Regions from separate parts of the Mus musculus genome. Here all the other regions are reported to be linked to region 1. The links are microRNA targets in miRTarBase. Many come from high-throughput screens and were not tested one by one. Region 1 holds a microRNA gene; each other region holds the end of a gene's coding sequence.

What was found. The annotated mature microRNA mmu-miR-410-3p reads AAUAUAACACAGAUGGCCUGU and lies in region 1 at 3,141-3,161, shown strand. An mRNA with a match to its seed (bases 2 to 7 or 8) in the 3' UTR can be bound and repressed. Matches are read on the target gene's strand: a 7mer-m8 pairs with bases 2 to 8, a 7mer-A1 pairs with bases 2 to 7 and ends in A, and an 8mer does both.
Region 2: miRTarBase lists Grhl3 as a target of mmu-miR-410-3p. Seed matches in the 3' UTR shown: 7mer-A1 at 3,077-3,083.
Region 3: miRTarBase lists Zc3hav1l as a target of mmu-miR-410-3p. Seed matches in the 3' UTR shown: 7mer-m8 at 2,800-2,806.
Region 4: miRTarBase lists Nf2 as a target of mmu-miR-410-3p. The part of its 3' UTR that is shown has no 7-base or 8-base seed match.
Region 5: miRTarBase lists Erlec1 as a target of mmu-miR-410-3p. The part of its 3' UTR that is shown has no 7-base or 8-base seed match.

Annotation. Positions count from the first base shown.
Region 1 is chr12:109,740,624-109,744,803 of GRCm38, forward strand. It overlaps Mir410 (microRNA 410), which reads left to right and starts at 3,092; the gene lies at 3,092-3,172. It overlaps Mirg (miRNA containing gene), which reads left to right. Exons shown (of 8, transcript NR_028265.1): 3 at 1,067-1,192; 4 at 1,439-1,667; 5 at 2,734-2,795; 6 at 3,043-3,224. It overlaps Mir541 (microRNA 541), which reads left to right and starts at 1,786; the gene lies at 1,786-1,875. Mir409 (microRNA 409) reads left to right here and starts at 2,535; the gene lies at 2,535-2,613. It also overlaps Mir412 and Mir369.
Region 2 is chr4:135,538,990-135,542,989 of GRCm38, forward strand. It overlaps Grhl3 (grainyhead like transcription factor 3), which reads right to left. Exons shown (of 16, transcript NM_001013756.2): 16 at 2,899-3,784. The coding sequence ends at 3,670. Among named protein-coding and RNA genes, the nearest start is that of Gm30888, 33 kb to the right of the region's middle.
Region 3 is chr6:38,289,312-38,293,311 of GRCm38, forward strand. Zc3hav1l (zinc finger CCCH-type, antiviral 1-like) reads right to left here. Exons shown (of 4, transcript NM_172467.3): 4 at 1-3,826. The coding sequence ends at 3,711. Among named protein-coding and RNA genes, the nearest start is that of Zc3hav1l, 7.9 kb to the right of the region's middle.
Region 4 is chr11:4,777,210-4,781,209 of GRCm38, forward strand. Nf2 (neurofibromin 2) reads right to left here. Exons shown (of 17, transcript NM_001252250.1): 16 at 3,369-3,413. The coding sequence ends at 3,378. Among named protein-coding and RNA genes, the nearest start is that of Cabp7, 32 kb to the left of the region's middle.
Region 5 is chr11:30,928,377-30,932,376 of GRCm38, reverse strand. Erlec1 (endoplasmic reticulum lectin 1) reads left to right here. Exons shown (of 14, transcript NM_025745.3): 14 at 529-2,593. The coding sequence ends at 600. Among named protein-coding and RNA genes, the nearest start is that of Erlec1, 24 kb to the left of the region's middle.

The DNA of each region.
Region 1 (4,180 bases):
TCTGGGGTCTCTGCAAATGTCATGTGCTAGAATGGAAGGTGTGGATATGGGGATGGTCAGGAAGGGGTGTGGCTCAGAACGCCACGTGACCAGACATGTAGTCCCAGGAACCAATGGAGAGATGCCAATATCTACTCCCTGACTCTTCTCAGCCTGAATCCTCTTTGTCACACCAGCACCTAGCCCCCCTAGTTGCAGACACACTCGCTGTTCTATCTCTACTCTGAAGATACCTTGACAAAATGAACTCTGTCCTTTGACAGTGTCAAGGACAATGGCAGCCTTCCCTCCCCACCCCCTTCCTCTCCTCAACTCACTGGGTCAGGAGTGCTCACATACCATCTGTTTTTCCCCCCTCCCACCCCACCCCCTCAACACACCTCTGTCTGTTTCTCTTTCGTCCTCATCGCTCACCAAACCTTGTTCTCCATTTTTGGATGGGTTAGGAAATGAATAGAGGCGACCAGCATTTCATCCCGTTTACATTAAATAATAGTGATAAAATAATCACAAAATAACACCACAAACTACCAGAATAGCTTGGAGGAAAATGTGTTCAATTGACTACAAATTGGCAGAAGAATCCAATTTTCTTGACAACATTTGAGCTGCGACATTTGACCTGGGGAAACAGTACTCTGTAGACATGGCAGCCGCAAGGGGCAGCTTCAGTAGTGGCGGATGCTATGAGCAGTAATATTTGTGGTAGATGAACGCACATTGAGGAATCAAATCTTCGTTCAGATTTTTAAATGGGAAAGAATTGATCCTAATGAAAATGATTTGAGGAAATAACAAGGGAAATAAAAGAAATGAAAATGGCCCAACAGCACAGTCAAGGAAGCTAAACAGGGAATTGGATTAGTTTAATGGAATTTACTTTAAAAAAAAAAAAAGGAAAGAAATGCATGTTTTTTTATGAAAATCAATGTGGGTGTGGTGTTTGAGATGGGGAAATCTATGGATATAGACTAGAGCTAGTGGGGTGATAAGAAGGACTGGTCACCATGTGGGTTTTTTTTTTTAATGTGGCTAAACTTTATTTTCCCATCCCAAACCTTTACAGAGAGCTTCATGGAGTATTCAGAAGCTGGCGGGTGTCACCTGGAGGATGTGACTGGGTACCAGTGCCAGAGCACGTGCCCACTGAGCAGTCTTCTTCACTTTCCTCGATCCTCATGAAACATTCCGGGTAAGACACTGGTTCTGGGGAGTCTGCTCTTGCCGAGCAGTTGGTACCTGGAACATTCTAGGGCCTGCCCTTCCTTGGGTTTCCATGTTGCCAGCTCCCAGGGCTAGGCTTAAAGACGTACCCATTGTTGGTGCTGAAGGGCTAGGCCCGTACGGGAGGTCATTTTAGAGTGGATGTATCCAGGGTCTAATATACTATCTGGGGTGTGATGAGCACCAGGTTTCATGGTGGCTCTCTTTCCAAAAGGATCTTTACCTCAAAGGACTCCAGAGGCTACATCATTGTCTTGGAACTGGTCAGTGGCTGGAGCTCTCTCCAGGACAAGTGCTTGGAGGAAGAACCTGGACAAGCTTCCCTCCCCATACTGTTGACTGGATCTTGTAGCTACCGTTAGCCACCATCATCGCCATTGTGTGCCTCTTAGGAGCATTTCCAGGAGGTGATGCCAGCTGGGGAAAGAGCCTCTGTCCCACAGGTCAGTTTCCAGAACACCTACATGAAGCTGCCCGTGGCGTCTTTTCCCCGTATGACACACTGCATGTGACCAGTCTCTTGCTGCCCTGCAGCAAGGCTAGAAGCCTGTGTGAACTCTTGCCAAAATCAGAGAAGGGATTCTGATGTTGGTCACACTCCAAGAGTTTTAAAATGAGTGGCGAACACAGAATCCATACTCTGCTTATGGCCTAAGTCAATGGATCCTGACCCTTACTGGAGAGCCCTCCCTGGCGTGCTCGTGCGGGGCAGCCATACACACTGGCACAAGGGGACCCTGCGGGATCTCCTTCCGCTGTTCTTTCTCTCCTCCCTCCATGTTTATCTTTGAAGCATTACTTGCTTGGTTTATAGGACTGGATGGTCAAGCAGTTCTTGCTATGACATCACCGTGGGGGGAGGGGGCAGGTGACAGGGCGGGGATGCCAGGGTCGTGGGGCTGCAGTGGTTGGGTGGGCCCAAGGAGGAGCATCTCTGGATGATGCAGTCATTGCCTCCTCGCTTCTGGAAGGCATCGTCTCTGGGAGGGTGGTGTGGTATATGCGCAGGGTCTCAGCATCTCCCTATCTCCAGCTTACAAAGGAGAGATAGAGTAAGCAGAGTTCTGCACCCACTTCTGCCCCGAGTCAGCTCCTCGCTACCTGGGTCTCAAGGTTGTCTGGGAAGGCTTTAGATATTCTTGGAAGGTGAAAGGGTGGTAGATTGCACTGGGGAGGTGATGGAATAATTGCTTTCACGTGGTGGAGGGTGGCTCCTCACTGAATGGGGAGTTATAATCTCTGAGGGGCTCCAGGATGGTTCTTCTGGAAACTCAGCCATCGGCCTCGTTCTGAGCATCCGAGCCTCTCCGTGGTACTCGGAGAGAGGTTACCCGAGCAACTTTGCATCTGGAGGACGAATGTTGCTCGGTGAACCCCTTTTCGGTATCAAATCCCTCCAGGGAGGCCACCTCAGGGAAGACCATGGACTCATCTCGCTCTGGGGTATGGGACGGATGGTCGACCAGCTGGAAAGTAATTGTTTCTAATGTACTTCACCTGGTCCACTAGCCGTCGGTGCCCGCTGCAGCCTGCGCCCAGGATGTCACAGCCTCAGCTCAACACCTCTGCTGGTACTTGAAGGGAGATCGACCGTGTTATATTCGCTTGGCTGACTTCGAATAATACATGGTTGATCTTTTCTCAGTATCAACGCTCAGCTTGGAGAAGCTCTTGGAGTTGCAGCCCCTGTGGGGGTGGGGACAGCATGGTGCTTCTAGGTTGCTGCCTCCGCGGGGAACTGGGCTGGGTGGAACAGGCTGTGTGCTGCCTGTGTCAACCCTACTCACCATTTATATGCAATCCCCCCCTTCCCCCCAGGACAGCTTCAGGTGGTGATTCCAGCTCCAGGGTTGCTGCGGTCAACACTGGGTACTTGAGGAGAGGTTGTCTGTGATGAGTTCGCTTTATTAATGACGAATATAACACAGATGGCCTGTTTTCAATACCACCTGCCACTCCGGTCACTCGGCAGTACATACCAGGTGTCACACCACTGCCCGGTAGGTAAATGCATGGACTCTGTATGACGCTTGTCACCCCCTCTTCACTGAACCTCAGCTCTGAGGAGCCTCCTGGGATCGCACCAACCTTGTAGGCTGGGCCACGAAGCATTGGCCAGATGTGCAATGGATGGCTGTCCACTTTCCATGCCTCTTTCCCGCCACAACAATGGGTGTTTGTCCCTGTCTAAGGCTTCCACCGAGGGCTGCATGCTCAAATGCCCTGTACCCTGGGTGCTTCTCAATACCATGAGGGCTTGGAGGGGCTAGCATGATACTTAGGGAAGAGCCAGGCCAGTTGGTTACACGTGCAGTTCCTAGTATCTGAGGTGAGATTGCCCGTGACGGGTTTCCATTCTTAATGCTGGTACAGTGCATGGTCACCTCTCTTTATCATTGGCTCTTACTGTGTGAGCATGGGTGTCAGGGGAGGGACACACTTTGCTGACCCACTGGACACCACTGATGGTCAGGCATGTAGCTGACTCATCCTGACCCAGAGCCTCACATCTCCTGAGGTGGGGGTTGGGAAGTCCAGAAGGGCATCTTAGAGGAAGAAGCATCCTAAGTAGAGTCCGTGCTGGTGGTACCTGAGCTAGCTTGTCTCTGAGACGTTTGTTTTCTATCTGATGACTATCCCACAGCCTACTTCTCTGCACCATGTCCTACCCTAGACCATTTCTACTTTGAGGCATTGATGCCAAGAACTGAAGCCTTTGTGTTGGTTGACTCTCTAGTCTGTATGTGAGACCATCCCTTGGCCTGTCTTGTCCTCAGTGCCACCCTGTTGGAAATAGCACAGAATGTCCTCCTGAGTCTACAAGGCAGTGATACCCAAGCTCTGTCCCTGCTTCACGAGCACAGGGGGCCCAGTAGGGATTAGCCTGCACTTCTTTTTTTTTTTTTTTTTTTTTATTTTTTTTTTTTTTTTCATTTTTTTTTTATTAGGTATTTAG
Region 2 (4,000 bases), not on the chromosome of region 1:
ACAAGGCCTCCCTCTGTAGTCCAACTGTCCTGGAACTCCAGATCCTCTTGCCTTAACATCCCGAGTGCTGGGATTACAGCCATGCAGCCGCAGGCTGACCTATGAAGTCCTGTGTGGGATACATTGGGATACAGCTCGGCAGAACTGGGATGCACAGCTCTGCTCTCAAAGTGCTTCCCAAATAATGCACAGGCAAATCCCATGGGTATTGGGTTAGAATACAGACGTCATGGATCTGGGGCGGGGCCAGAGAGACTGCTCTTACACATGCCCCATGTGAAGTCAATGCTGCAAGCTTAGCGAGCCGTGCTGGGTCTGATACACACTCGGTTCTTCGGCTTGCGTCTTTCACGTGTTCATCCGACTCTTTGGTAATTCCCCCCTCCCCCACTTCCCGCTCCTCATTCCTTTCTCCCCACACTTCTCCTGTGCTGGCTAACTTGACCCAGGCAAAAGGCATTTGAGAGATAGGGACCTCAACTGAGGAAATGCCTGCATTAAAAAAAAAAAAAAAAAGTCAGGCCGTGGGCAAGCCTGCAGGGCATTTTCATAATTTGTGATTGATGTGAGAAGGTCCAGCCCAGTGTGGGTGCTGCCATCCCTGGGCTGGTTGTCCTGAGTTCTATAAGAGAGCAAGTCGAGCAAACCGTGGAGAGCAAGCCAGTAAGCAGCATCCCTCCATGGCCTCTGCAACAGCTCCTGTCTCCAGTTACCTGCAGACAGGTAGTGTTCTGCCCACTGGCAACAGCTGCCCTCTGAGAGTGAAAGCTATAGAAACTCCTGTTCTTCCCGGCTTCTCATTTCAGGGAGTGAATTATTCTTGCCATTGGCAAGCTGACCTCCCCTGACTTTCTTGAAGAGGAGAGACAATCTTTTCAAAGCTGGTTAGAGTGCTGTCCTTGGGGACCAAGTGACTTTTGTCCCCTCAGCTCTGTTTTGGTGTCTTGCTGGAGGCGTAATACAGAATGCAGAAGCTTCCAGTACACGTCCTATGCCCCACAGCAGGTGTGTTCCAAAGCTGCCGAGCCTGCTGTGTGCAGGTGGAAGCCACAGAGACCCAACGGCATCAGTGCCTCTTTGGAACAGTGCCCCTCAGCATTGATTACACACTATGATCACCTAGGGAACTTCAAAACGTGCCATTGCCTGGGCCTTCATCCAGGACGCTAATTTAGAGGCAAGGGCAGGGTAGAGGCTGCCAGATAATTCCAATACACCAGTGAGGCTAGCAGCAGCCCCTTGGCCTGCCGGGATTTCCTCGTTGCTCTGGGTTACAGAAACGGTTACAGGACGTTAGGAGTCGTGGATGTGCCTGGCACTGTCAGCTGCTTTGTTCTCCTGTCACGTCACCTTCACGTGTGACTCTGCTCTGATGCATAGTGTGGTGTCCCAGCAGCAGGGAGGCATGACTGGGAGATGCAACCCTGGTGCTGCAGTGTCCCTTGAGCAGGTCACAGCAACCATGATGAAGCACGAGGAAGCATTAGTCATGCAGAGTCTGTCTTTAGACTCGAGATTTTGTTCATTGTGGATCTTCGGCCTTAATGTTCAAAGGGTCTCAGATTGGGATTGGTTGTGTGCGCTCACCCTCCTAGTGCTATGGATAATGAGTTTAAGATGAGCTTGAACCACACAGAGAGACCCTATCTAATAATAAAAACGAAACAGTAACTATCTCCCCAGTGTGTTAAACTATTCCCTAAGTGCAGTGCTGAGTCCTTTGGCATCCTGTCCTTGTCGCCGCCTGAGGCCAGCTCCTCCCGTGGGTAGCCTGCCTCCCAGTGCCGATTGTGGTATTTGACCATGGATTCTGTTGGAATTGGGAGTTCTTAAAAAATGTATCTTGGAGCCAGGCGTGGTGGCACACGCCTTTAATCCCAACACTCAGGAGGCAGAGGCAGGTGGATTTCTGAGGTCGAGGCCAGCCTGGTCTACAAAGTGAGTTCCAGGACAGCCAGGGCTACACAGAGAAACCCTGTCTTGGAAAGCCAAAACAAACAAACAAACAAACAAAAAAAAAAGTATCTTGGTTCTTAAACTTTAAAAACAAACCAAGAAACAAAAGTATACAAACGTGTAACAAAGACACACATTCAGGCAAAACACCCATACGCATAAAACTGTAAAAAGTCTTGTTTAGTCAGAAGAAATCCCAATTCATGGGAAGCAGAGCTTCTGGGACAAAAGGCAGGGCTGCTGACCCCTCCCACAGCCTGGATCTTTGAGACTCGATGGAGAGCCCAAGGCTCTGAGGGACACGGAGGCCAGTGAGGACCACACTACATTTTATTGGTAAGGAAGTGGAGTAGATACAACTGTGGAAAGGAAGAAAAGAAGGAAGGGAGGGGGGAGGGAGGGAGTCAGGAAGGCTGTTCTAGGAGAGGATATAAGACTTAGTTTGAAGTTACCCCCTGCCCCAGAGGCCTAGACACTGGCACATGACTCTACAAGTTACCAATCTGATGTTACTGCTGTACAGTTGGGAAGTGATGTGTAGCTGCCTTTGGGTAGCAGTTCGAGTTGAATCCAGAGAAAGTGTTAGCCTGAGAAGTAGGGGCAGAGTTGGCCCAGGTCTTGGTGGCATGGGTCCCAGCTTTGGGCTCTGTCCACTGGCCTAGCTTTGAGGGACTTGTCACAGAGGTGGTGAATCTTCCCGGGCCTTGCTCTCTGCATGGAGGAGCCTCGTCATGACTCTTGTGAGACCACATGTGGATTCTATGGCCTGGCAGGGTAAATATGCCATGCCCATTGTCAGCCTTCATGTACAGGACATGAAGCCCTTGGGACAAGCCACAGTGAAGGGAGAAAGAGGAAGGGCCTCTCCAACCGGAGCCTCTCTTCTGGGTCTTTGAGACTCACTGGAGTCTCACAGAAGGAAGAAGCGCATGAAAACCGGGGAAGTGTGCATGGGTAGGCTTTTATTACTAAACCCTATGATATACAAAATGCATAATCGAATAACAGCTAAAAAAATAGTTCAAGAAATATGAAATACATATTTTTGAAATGATAAAAATGTAACATGGACATACAAAATGTTGCATATATGTACATAATATATACTTACATATATATATATATAATCACATAATGAAAACTGTAAATAAGAAATGTGTACAACAGTAGGTGGCAAGGGTATTTGTTCCTGTCAGCTCGATGATGGTGACTTACATCTTGTGCCGAGGAAGTCAATAAGAAAGTTTCCTCTCCAAGGGCCTCACAAAGGCATCTGCTGTGAAAGTCACGAGTTTTCAAGTTATTTGGCCAAAGTGTGAGAACTCTCTGGTCTGAAGTTGGTAGAAAGGAAACAGTGAACGTCAGAACCGATCGAGACAGCGGGTGTAGCCCTGCAGAGAAGGTGGTGTGACCCCCGTCCCCTGTAAGGGCCTCTGCAGCGGGACTTAGAAGAGAAAGCAGGCAGTTGGGTCTGTGTTGCTCAGACTCTCCGGTGGGCTGGGTGCTTTCAGGAAGCTCTGGAGTGAGTTCGAGCCTGGGTGGGACATTTAGATCCTGGAACCTTCTTGGTCTCTCCCTGGCTTGGACATCACCGAGTTGGTTGCTTGCGAGACCTCTTTCCCAAAGAAAGGCATTTCAAGTAACAGCTGACACAGAAGAGGTTGTACGTGGCTTGAGCCGGGCCCCGGGTGTGGGACGCTTGAGGCCGGGCCCTCATAGCTCCTTCAGGATGATCTGGATCTTGCCGTCCAGCTCACCCATGTCCAGCAGGAAGGCCACGTGGTTGCTGTAGTGTTGGATGATGTTGTTGTCCATGTTAACCAGGATGCTGGAAGAGAGAGGAGGGAGACATGGTTACTATGCGTCCAGGCCAGCTGTCATGACCCTCTGAGCAACAAGCTTGATAGCAATGCTACAGGCCACTTCTGTAGCTTTCTGTGACCCTCAAGACCAGGCTGTAAGATGAGGAATTCCAGTGGTCAAGTTTCAGCTCGGAACCCAGCCTGCCAGCCATGCCATGCTGGTGCCTGCTGGTGGATGGCTT
Region 3 (4,000 bases), not on the chromosome of region 1:
CACCACTGTTGGGACAGCTTGCCACAGCCCTTCTTCCTTACCCCCATTTACCTGTTGCTCTGCCCCTGTGCATCCTAACGTAGGATGCTTGCCCTGCGTGATGGAGGCCGATGAAAATTTCGGCAGGAGAAACAGAACTGCAATATCCTTAGGTTTGCTTCCAAAAGATCAGGCAGCTGGAATGGAGGCAGGGAGAAGAGGAGAGAGCCTGGTGTGTCCCACACCTGTGACCCTAGCACTTAAGGAGCAGCAGGATTACAAGTCTAAAGCCACCTCCCACATATGGAAGGCGAGAACTGACAACAGGGAGGCGACCTCTGACCTCCACATATACATCACCGAACCACACACATCACTACATCCGTAAGCCTAAACACAACACGTATAGTAAATAAGTAAAACGTAAACACAACACGTATAGTAAATAAGTAAAACGTATTTAAAAGCAGGGAAACACAAGCCACTTTAGAGGCAGATGTGGTAGCATCACCGACACCCCCACCTCATGGGAGATAGAGGCCAGGGGATAAGGAGTTCAAACCCAGCCTGAGCTACATAGTGAGTTCGAGACTAGCCCGGGCTGCATGAGACCGTGTCAACAAATAAATGAGAGAGAGTAAATGAAATCTTCAAAGGCCAACTATATCAATATTTAAATGCGGCTACCATGGCTACCATGGGTATAAGAGCCTACCCAGCACCTCATACCAAAAAACAAAAACAAAACAAACAAAAAAACTCAACAATTAACCTGGACATCATTGAGTAATGTGCCTATGAAATACATAAGAGAAGTGTGCACAAAGGCAGTGACAGTTTTGTGTGTGTGTATACCAAGGCAGGGAGAGGTGGGGGTGTGCACCAGGGCAGTGTCTGAAGGTGGAGAGAGGTAAGGAAAACTGACCCTTTAGAAGGTTTCTGAGGGGGAAAGAACTTCCAACACTTGGAAACAGATTTGCCATGGAATGAGGAAAAGATAATAAGGACAATCAATAACTTGTTGTCTTAAGTCAAATGACTGGATAATGGTCTCAGAATGAGGTGGGGGGAGGGCTGGAGGAAACCGGTTGCGATTCCTGAGAGTCCTCAGAGAATTCTCGTGTTAGAGCTAGAGAAGTTTGTGCAGTAAAGTGACAAGGCTCCACTTGAACTATCGGTTGGGGGCGTGATCATGAAGCCTAGTTCGCTCATTACACAAGGGGGGGGGAGGGCTCAGGACCTCTCCACCCCGGGAGTCATTTCCCTGTGTGCTGTGGAACTAATTTGAAAAGTAAAGTCCAAGGAAACACTGCTCTGTTTCTGAGACATGAAGAAATGAAAACACAAGACAAAGCAAAGAGCTGCGCATTCTCTGGCCCACGCACCGCGAGAGAGTGCCCAAGGTCAGCCATCACCCACTAGTGTAAACTGACCCCAAGTTAGCTCCCCAGCGAGCAGGCTCCAAACACCCCCATCCTTCCTTTCTACGAAGGTTTGTGAATAAAATCACCCTCTTCCCTCAGTACCACATCTCTTAACTTTATCTGCCCAGCATGGGGTGAGCAGCCAGACTCGATCTGGTAACACTTACATAACATAATTTGAGTGCTGAGAATACAGCTCAGAGGTAGAGCACACTTGCCTAGTGCTCATGAGCCACAGGCCCATTCCCAGTATCATATACACAAAAAGATAATTTTGTAGACTAAATTCCCAAAAGAACTAAAACTTAAAATGAAATACTATGGACTTGAATAAAATGTTGCAACAATGGTTACAGACCAGGAACATCATATCTGAGAGCATGCTGGTGAGACACATGAGAAAGCAATACTATAAGAGCTACCACTGTAAGAGCTACCACGTCTATTGATGGAAAGAGAACACACTGAGCCACCCCATCCCATCAAGGATTTAAGATGGCTTACAGCAAAATACATATAGGAAAATGACAGAGTGTAAATAGTAATAATAATTAAATGCAATTTCTTTTGAGGCAGGGTCTCACTGTGCAGCTCTGACTAGCCTGGAACTCACTCTGTACATCAGGCAGTCTTGAACTCACAGATCTGCTTGCCTCTGCCTCTGGAGTGCTGGGATTAAAGGCCTGCACCACTGGGACTGGACTAAAATTTTACTTTAAAGTTTAGTCCAGGACTTAGATGTACCTTGCTGGTGGAGGACTTTGTTTCACATGGGCAAGGCCCTTGGTTTGATCCCAATGCATAAACACACACACAAACACACACACAAACACACACACACACACACACACACACACAAATACCACTAGGAAAAAAATGTCACAACTTGAATTTTAAAAGAAAGAAAAGAATATAAAACACAATCTCAGAAGTACTGTTACTGACAACTGAAGTGAGAAGCCCTAAGTCCGCGAGCTTACTGTCCACTAAGAGGAAACTGGTTTGGAAAGGACACTTTTACATCCCTCCTCTCCTTTGATCCATTGGTATCATGATAAAAGTTTCTCCAAATAAGGTAAGTTTGGCTTTATGAAAACTTACTAAATTGCTCCTATTTCTCAAATGTCACGTTATGGAAAGAAACACAAATCTTTTTACACAGTTACATTGGGGAACATGACCACAACAAATATCAGCAAAGCACACACTGAAAACAACAGGATGAGTGGGTACAGAGAGGCTGGAGGAAGGGAGGAGGGAAGGGAGGAGGGAAGAGGGAGGACGGAGGAGAGAGAGGGAGAAGGAGAGGAGGGGAGAGGGAGGAGGGAGGGAGAGACCACGAAATGGGCAAGGTATATATGGATTCCTGATGGTCTGTCCCATCCACACCGGGGAGATATAACTGGAAGGAGTGAACCACACATCCTTCAGGATAGAGCAGCTGAGCTCTGATAGGCTCGATAGAGGATGAGAGAGGGGTGGGGTGAGGTAGAAACCTCCGAGCAGAGTCCAGAGATCATTAGCTGGGTTGCTGACTGAGGATGGACCCAGAAACTTGAATATTATGAACACAGTATTGATGACAGCACAGAGGGCCCAAGCCACAAAATGCAACATGGGAAATTCACAAAATCAAGCAAGAGACACAGAAAGCAGGGACAGAGGTTATCCACACAGACAGTTAAAGAAATATGTATCAGAAAACAGTATTGTTTAGCACCTACAAGCCAAGCAAAGGTACAAATTGGCTTTTAAATTCAATACTGCACAGATACAAAATGAGATATTCAAACACTGTTAGGAGTATGAAATATTACAGAATAAGGGAGGTGATTACACTTATATTAACAATTCTTTGCAAAAAAGGAACTAAGTATAAGCCCAAGTAACAAACAATACAGAGTTCACAAACTGTGATGTCCATAACATAAGCTATGTAAATGGAGTCTAGAAAACACCAGCGGGACCTAGCAGACAGCAGAAGAAACCTGCCCTCCATTGAGGCTCGAAGGCATTCAGGGGCTGCAGAGAGAGACTACAGCTTCAGGATTCACCCTGGATTACGTGCTCAGAATTTACCCTCTCTTGGCTGGCTCCAGGTCCAACCTCAGCCCTCAGCCGCAAGTGTATTTTCGTTTCCACCCTGGGTCCTGGCGATCAGTTAGTTGTGAGGTAGGTATTACAGTTGCCAATGATACTAAGTGAGGGAGAGAAAGACCGGCTAAAAACTGCAGCTCAGCAAAAGTCTTGCTTCTGATCCTCCAAGATGGACAGGGGCTTCTCACTTCCTCCGAAGCTCGTTCAGGTTTATTGGGGCTTCCTGGGCGACTGAGCACGGGCAGGGAGGAAAGGCCTGGCTTCCACAGCCCCGAGGGCTCCTTGTTTCCCAAGGCCTTGTGGTTGCTCAGTAGAAGCCGAGTGGTCTGAAAGGAAGAAGAGAGATGAGCTTTCTGTTTTAATTCTACGTTGTTGGAAGCAACATGGGAGGGAATGGGGTAGAATGGGGGGGGGGGAGTAAATAAATTAAAACAAGCAGTCGGAAAGACTAAGAGCAACTTGAGGAGATGTTTCTGATATTAAATTAGTGAACAAAGATA
Region 4 (4,000 bases), not on the chromosome of region 1:
CTCAACATACCTAATGCTCACCACCAGTTGTAGGCTTAAAGCCATGTAGCACAACCCATGATTCCTCCTTCCTCCCTCATCACTGGTCCACAAGCGGATGCTGCTTTTCATGTCGTCAAACCCTCACTGTGCACTAAGTGTCTCCCGTGACTTCCTTCATTTACCCTCACAACAATCCTGGGGGTGGGAGAGAGGAGAAGAGGGAGGAGGGAGGTGGAGGACTTGAGACAGGGTCTCACTGTATAGTCCTAGCCAAGTCCTGACACTTGCTCTGGCACTGTGCGTGGCAGAATGTTACGTTTCTGATACCTGTTCGGCTGGGATCTAATGCACGGCCTCGTGCATGCTAGCAAGCACTCTTGCACTGTCCCCTTTCCTTATCCTGCTCTGTTACTGATGCTGTCCTTGAACTTGTGATCCTCTTGCCTCAGTAGACGTTGGTTTATAGGTGTGAGCCATTACCAGGCTTGATTTATCCATGATTAATTCTTTACAGGTAAGAGTTCTCATTCCTACCCTGCCCATCCACCCCCAGAGATCTGCCTGCCCTTGCCTCTGGGGTGCTGGGTTTAAAGGTGTGTGCCATCACCACCTAGCTAAGAATTTTGTCTCCTAAGAAAGCAAAAAAATCAAAGGCTGGAGAGATGTCTTAGTGCTTAAGAATACTGGTTGGAGGCCGGGCGTGGTGGCGCATGCCTTTAATCCCAGCTCTTGGGAGGCAGAGGCAGTCGGATTTCTGAGTTCGAGGCCAGCCTGGTCTACAAAGTGAGGTCCAGGACAGCCAGGGCTATACCGAGAAACCCTGTCTCGAATAACCAAAAATAAATAAATAAATAAAATAAAATAAAATAAAATACTGGTTGGTTTTCCAGAAGACCAGGGTTCAATTCCCAGCACCCATATGGTGGCTCACAACCATCTGTAACTCTAATTCCAGAGAATCTGGCATTAGGAGGTGTGGCCTTGTTGGAGGAAGTGTGTCACCAGGGGTGGGCATTTAGAGTTTTAAATGCTCAAGCCAGGCCCAGTGCTGTCTTCTGAAATGTACATCTCTCAGCTACATCTCCAGCACCACGTCTGCCTGTGTACCACCATGCTTCCTGCTACAATGATTATGAACTAAACTAAACCTCTGAAAGTAAGCCAGTGAATGCTTCCTATGAGTTGCCATGGTCATGGAGTCTCTTCACAGCAAGAGAAACCCTCTCTAAGAATCTCTCATCCCCAATGTCAAAATGGAGCTCCTCCCTTGACCAATAGGTACACACACTTCCAAAGCCAGAAGGGACACTTTTCTGCTAGGCTAGCAATGGTTCAGACAGTAGTGGAAATGACTTGAGAGCCACCTCTACACAGGAAGGTGACCATCAGTTATGAGCACTGGCCACTAGCCATAGAGACTGCCACTACCTAAGTAAATGAAACATTCCTCAGACAGCAAAATCCACCAGTATTTAGTTTAAAATTGCTGAGAGGAACTTGCATCATATTGAAAGACAAGTTCTTGCTTTTAGTAACCTTGGTTATCAGAATTCTTGGTTATCAGGGTTTCTCTGTATAGCCCTGGCTGTCCTCGAACTCAGAAACCAGCCTGCCTCTGCCTCCCGAGTGCTGGGATTAAAGGCGTGCGCCACCACGCCCGGCTGGTTATCAGAATTCTTAATTAAATACAGCCTAGCAATCTGTTTTGAAAACAACAGGCACATTAAGGCATTCACCTGAGTGAATGAATGAATGAACTAACAAACAAACAAACGTTTCCAAATACAGTCACTCGCTACTTGATGATTGGGCCATGCAGTGAGAGGTGTGTTGGTAGATGATCTTATCACTAAGGGAAAATCATAGACCAAGATGGCTGTGATGCCACTGGGTAATACAAACGTACAGACCCAGCACTGTGTACTCAATCTGTCATTGGGCACTTGGCATGATGAGGCTATAGGTCTAGAAACAATACAAAGATGACTAAAAAGGAAACCTCTCTTGTTTATAACAACTCAGTGAGAACTGATGATCAAACTTAGGACCCTGAAGAATACAAATATTCTATATCACACAACAAAAGATGAACCCACATTCTAATGAAATTGCCTAATTATACGCAGGGAGCATCTGATGCACCAGGTAAGATATAGCAAGGTTTTCCGAGTGCCCTGCACTGACCAGAGTGCACGAAGCACCACAGATCCACTTGGGTTACCATGTGGGCAGAGATTCAACTTTCCAATATCCTGTTTAGAGCACACACTGCATGATGTCAGGGTAGCAGAACCAAAGTGGGCATGAGGCTGAAAAAAGAAGTGCATTCACTCAGGCAGGCTCAAATGACAGTCTCGGGTTCGTGGGGCCTCTGTGCACTCTCAGTTACCTGATGCACCTGGGACGTCACAGCTGACCTCCTTTGTGGACAATGAGCAAACGGAAACGTCCAGGTTCCGAGTTTCTTTACCTGACTGCAGTGAGGACGCTAAGGACATAGCCTATTTCTCTGTCAGAAGTGTCAGAGGCATGCTGACATGGGTATGACTGGGGATCAAGCAGTAATGGAAGGACGGTAACATTTAAATATTAGGCATGATAATCCTGTATTGCCTGGGCATATTGAAAGAATAATCTGTAATGCTTTAATTAGTTGACTCAACACAAATGCTGCTAACTCATCTCCTGGGTGTCTGCAATGGGACAGTTGCAGATGAGCTTGTCCATGCACAGCTCCTTCCATGCGGTAGGGGGACAGAAGCCAAAGTGGCCTTTAGAGCAGCCATGGGACAGCCAACTCACTGCAACTGGCTTAAAGATGCACCAGTGTTCTGTTTGCTGCCCTAGGAAAGAAAAGGGGTGTGCAGAGAACAGAAGGCTTGAGGAAAAAATGAGAATGAGTGGCCCACACCCAGAAGCTACCAGCTGTGATAAGTTTGCAGAGCGTACCACTACAGGAGAGGAGTGATCTTGAACAAGAGACATCAGTCTTAAAAGCATCAGAACTGATTCCCACTTCCATGCTAGAGGTATCTATCAAAGGAGTATACCACCAAGAAGAAAAAGGACTTAGATTTGACTGGAAAGGGAGCCATGACTTTCCCCAACCCAACCAGTGACATAAGGGAAACCAAGCAACTGGTCCTGCATCCCCACAGCATGCTCTTCAGAGTGAGGCAGTCTTCTAGGCCCGGGAGGCTGGTCTGGGCCCCCCCAGGGTGGACAGCTGCTCTCACCCTCAAAGCATGCTGTGGCCAGGCCCCAGGCTTCCCTGCCCTCAGGAGGGCTCTGCGTGGCCCGAGGACAGAGACAGGCAAGCTCATGCACGGGTTAGTACCACAGACGAAGGACCAGCACCACAGACAGAATACCTGGGAATAACCTACTTTGAGGACTCAAATGCAGATAGGTCTTCTGCCTTGGGCTTGAGGCTAAATGAGCAAAATAAAATGAAAAAACAAAGACATACCCTGTGAAATCAAAATGCCACATGTGCCATTTGCAAAATGCTCAGAAATAGAGACAGTGACCTCAGGTGTACTGTGAAACAGTTTGAACAGTGGCCTCTCTGGTTTTCAGCTGAGAGCCCAGTTCTCCACAGCAGCAGTGGCCAGGAGACTGCTCAGGATGCCAGGTGATAAGGAGGCAGGATGAGGGGGCTGACTGGTTCACTAGCCCAATCACGTTTTAGCTTAAGAGCCTCCTCTTTACCCCCACCTCCCCCGCCCACTTTATGAGACAGGGTCTTATATAACACAGGCTGGACATGAATTTTTGTTGCAGTCCAAAATGACCTTTAATCCTCCTGCCTCCTCCTCCTGAGTTCTGTGGGTCACCACGCCTGGTTTTAAACTCCCCTCTGACATTTAATCATTTTGTTTGAAACAAGAAACCCAGAAGACAACAGGAGCCAGAGGGAGAGGGTGTGGAGTGCGGTGATGCCTTCTCTACTTGGTGTCCACTGTGAAGTGCTAAGCAGAAGTAGGCTCCCAACTACACATCAGAGGAGACTCAGGCT
Region 5 (4,000 bases), not on the chromosome of region 1:
TTGGTTTTTTTCTTTTGTTGTTTTGTTTTTTCACAATATTATAACAAATAATTCATCCTTTAAGTTAGTGTTTACTTTGCCTTATAAATAGAACTGATAGTTTTGCCATAGTGTTTTCCTGTTTTAGTGATGTAACTCTAGTTACAAACTTCTATATTCCTGTTCTTTCTGTCTCCTTTACCATATTTACTGAGAAATAAAAATATTTTCAGCTATAATGCTTTTATATGGGTGACTAAACTTGTTTTTCAGAAAGCTTTATTATTTATGTTAGGCTTCATGAAAATTGGCACTCAGGATTGCCAAAAGAGAAGTTCAAGGCTAGTCAGGGAGGAATACATAGCATGACACAATCTCAAAAGAAAAAATGGAAGGAGGCTGGGGAGAGAGAGAAAAGAGCCTAATCTGTAGGGAAAATGTTGGGAGGTTTATCCAAACCAGGATCTTACATATTTAGCAAATATATTCTTTGAGAAGATACTGAGGAAATGTTCACCTTACCAACTTTCTAATATTATTATTCTTCAGGTTGAATCTCCAGTAATCTGTAAAATTCTAGATACAGCTGATGAAAATGGACTTCTTTCTCTCCCCAATTAAAAGATATTAAAGTTGAAAGAAAGAAAGATGATTGAAAATCATCACTTTCTCCTGACCACATCTCTTTATAGAGTCTCACCATTGGACCTTGTCTGTAGTATCACAAAAAGGACTGGCAACCACACTGTGAAATTCACGTGTATATAAGAGATTACAGATAAACTTGTAAGGCAGATCCTTGTCTCACTTCATTCATTTTGGTCTTGTATGAACTGATTGCGTTTGGCTTTGCTTGGGTAATGTAATTTCAAAACAAATCTGATCCAAGCAGTTTAGTCCAGCTTATCAAATGTCATATACCTTGTACTTGTTAAAGTATTTTAAATAATATACTTACTGAATAAATTACAGCACATATGACAAGCTAATGAAGTAAAGATAATTTAGAAAGAAGTTTCTAGAAGATTGTATAAAATGAGGGGCCACATAAAATGTATAAAATTCTAGTGCCTGAAATCCTTTCAGCAAATGTTTCTGTGACAGTTGCTCGCTGTCAAGCACTAAACTAGAAGTGGAAATAGAGGAGAGCCTCACAGATAACCTGAGATCACTCAAGAAACTGGTTTTTTTTTTTTTTAAATGAGAGGTTGCTCTTTTTCTTGAACTTTTATGATTCTTACCATGAATGAGTTTACTACAGAGTACATGTCTAGTGCAGACAGTTCGTGACTCATCTCTACATTAGAATGGTTCATTCTAAAATTCACTGTGCTGGCTCTCGTACGTGCCTGCTGTATAGTATAAATCTTAGTTCTGGACAGCTTTACAGCACAATATTTATTTTAAAGAGAATAAAATGTTATTAAGCAGTCTTTTCATGTAATTAGTGGCAGATTATTCAGTTACTTTATTTTCTCCTTTATCCTTTTTGCATATATTTTATCCATATGAATCTGAACAAGGACAAAAAAGTGGCCATAGGGACTGAGAGAATACTTTAGAGGCAGAGCATGTTTGAGGCCCTCAGTTCAGTCTCCCACAACAAAAATAAAAAGTTGGATATTGGGGTTCATGCTTTTGTTCCCAGCACTAAGTAGACAGATTCAGGGGATCAGAAAGTTCAAAGATAGCCTGGTCTACGCCAAGGATAGCCAGTTCTGCACCAACCAGGGCAACAAAGTTGAAAGCCTATCTTAAACAGTCAAAATAAAAGGTGGTCCAGATACTCCTGAAAACCAGTATTTCTGATAAAAGCTATATTAAGAAAGGGTTTATGACCAGGCCTAATGGCATGGCATTAATTAATTAATTAATTAATTAATGTAATGCCAGCACTTGAGAAGTAGATACTAGAAGAATCAGAAGTTCAAAGTCTGCTACATAGTGAGTTTGAAGCCAGCCTGGGCTGCAGGAGACCTTGTCTTAGAAATTAATTAATTAGTTAATAATTAATTAATATGTGAACTTTTTTATTCTACACCAAGTACATTCAGCACTTTTGGGTATCCTACAATTGATTTAATTAATTCAATGCCTTTATTGCTAGGGCGGGGGGTTTAGTGGTAAAGCAGTCTAGGACAGTGGTTTAAAACCTGTGGGTAATGGCCCCTTTAGGGGTTAAATGACCTTTTCATGGGGGAGGGGTGTCACCTAAGTCCATCAGAAAACATATTTACATTATGATTCATAACAGTAGCAAAACTACAGTTAGAAGTAGCAACAAAAAGTTTTATGGTTGAGGTCACCACAACATGAGGAGCTGTATTTAGGGATCACAGCAGTAAGGTAAGTCTAGGAGGTGAAAGAATCTGGCTGGAGACTGGAGATGCAGCTCATTGGCAGACTGCTTAGCAAACACAAGATCCTGGATTCCATTTCCAGCACAGCACAAGAAATGAAGAAAAGAAAAAAGTAAATGACTCAACATAGTGTCTTAACCCCAGAACTTGGAAAACAAAGAAGTATTGCCATGAATTTGAGACCAATCTGATTTGCCATACACTGTGAATTCTAGGCTAATCTAGAAAGAGTGAATGAGATGAGACACTTTCTTAAAAAAAAAAAAAAAAAAAAAGCAAGCTGGGCATACCTTTTATGCCCACTTGAGAAAGCAGAGGCAGGTAGGGTTACTGTGAGTTTGAAACCAGCCTGGTCTACATACTAAGTAATCAGTTATTCCTACATAGCATAGAATGGCCTATATAACAAAAAATATGTAAACTTTTTTATTCTACACCAACTATACTCAGCACCTTTGGGTACCCTACAATTAATTTTAGTTCTCATGCTTACCTACTTGGACTTAGCATCATATGTCACAGGTAAAAAGGATTCAACCTTACAAAGTTGCTCCACATCAGATGTCAGCTACAAATATTGCAAGTACCAAGTTCTAATTTTATATACGTGTGTGTGTGTGTGTGTGTGTGTGTGTGTGTGTGTGTGTGTGTGTGTGTGTGTGTGTGTGTGTGTATGCATGCCTATTTGCCTATATGTGCACCACATAGTTACAGGAAGTTGGGAGCTACCCAAAGTGGGTGCTGGGAACTAAACTCAGGTCCTTTGAAAGATGAGCAAGTGTTTTTAAACACCGAACCATCTATGAAGTCCCTGGATTCTAATACCTTTTACCAGACAGCTATAAATCAGTCTCCAGACCTACTACTTTTTCTCAAAAGTTTGCTAGAATGGCTCACAGAACTCTGGTAAATACTTAGTTTAACAGTTATAAAGGAGAGAAGCACTAATAAAGTCAAATTAAAGAGGTAAATAAGGCGAGGAGGTTGGGCTAGAGTTCAGTTTCTATACTCTCCAGATCTCAAGAATTCAAAAGTTTATATGGAGCGTGAAACCCACCCTTCCCTAATACACACACACACACACACACACACACACACACACACACACACACACAGAAGGGGGGGGGGGGGAGAGGGAGCAGGAGAGGGATCACCGGATGGGATTGAAGTTCCAGCCTTGACAATCATTTGGTCCTTCTGGTAAATGGCCTCATTTGGAGACTGTCTAGGGGTTGTGATTTTTCAGCATAGATGTTGAAAGCAAGCTATATTCTGTTAATCTTGGTTTTTCAGGCTGTGCCTCAACTCTGAGACTCCATTTTACAAGCAGCATTTGAGTAGACAGAAACAAAGACAGATGGGTGACTCTGTACTTTGCAAACAACACAATCCATCTGGCATCACTGACAAGGCACAACTGATAAAGTAAAAACACTATAATTTTGTCAAATTAATATCACACACAACTATGTATGTTAAAATTGTATCAAGAAATTCAGCAAGAACTTACTGAACTTCCTAAACTGAGGAAGAGATGTGGCAACCTAATTTGGACCCAGTTAGAGGAGGACACCTTTAATAGCCCTGGGAGTGACAGCTCCATCTGCTTACCTGGAAACTAAAGCACTTGTGAGTTTATTGCTATCCAATTCTGACATGTA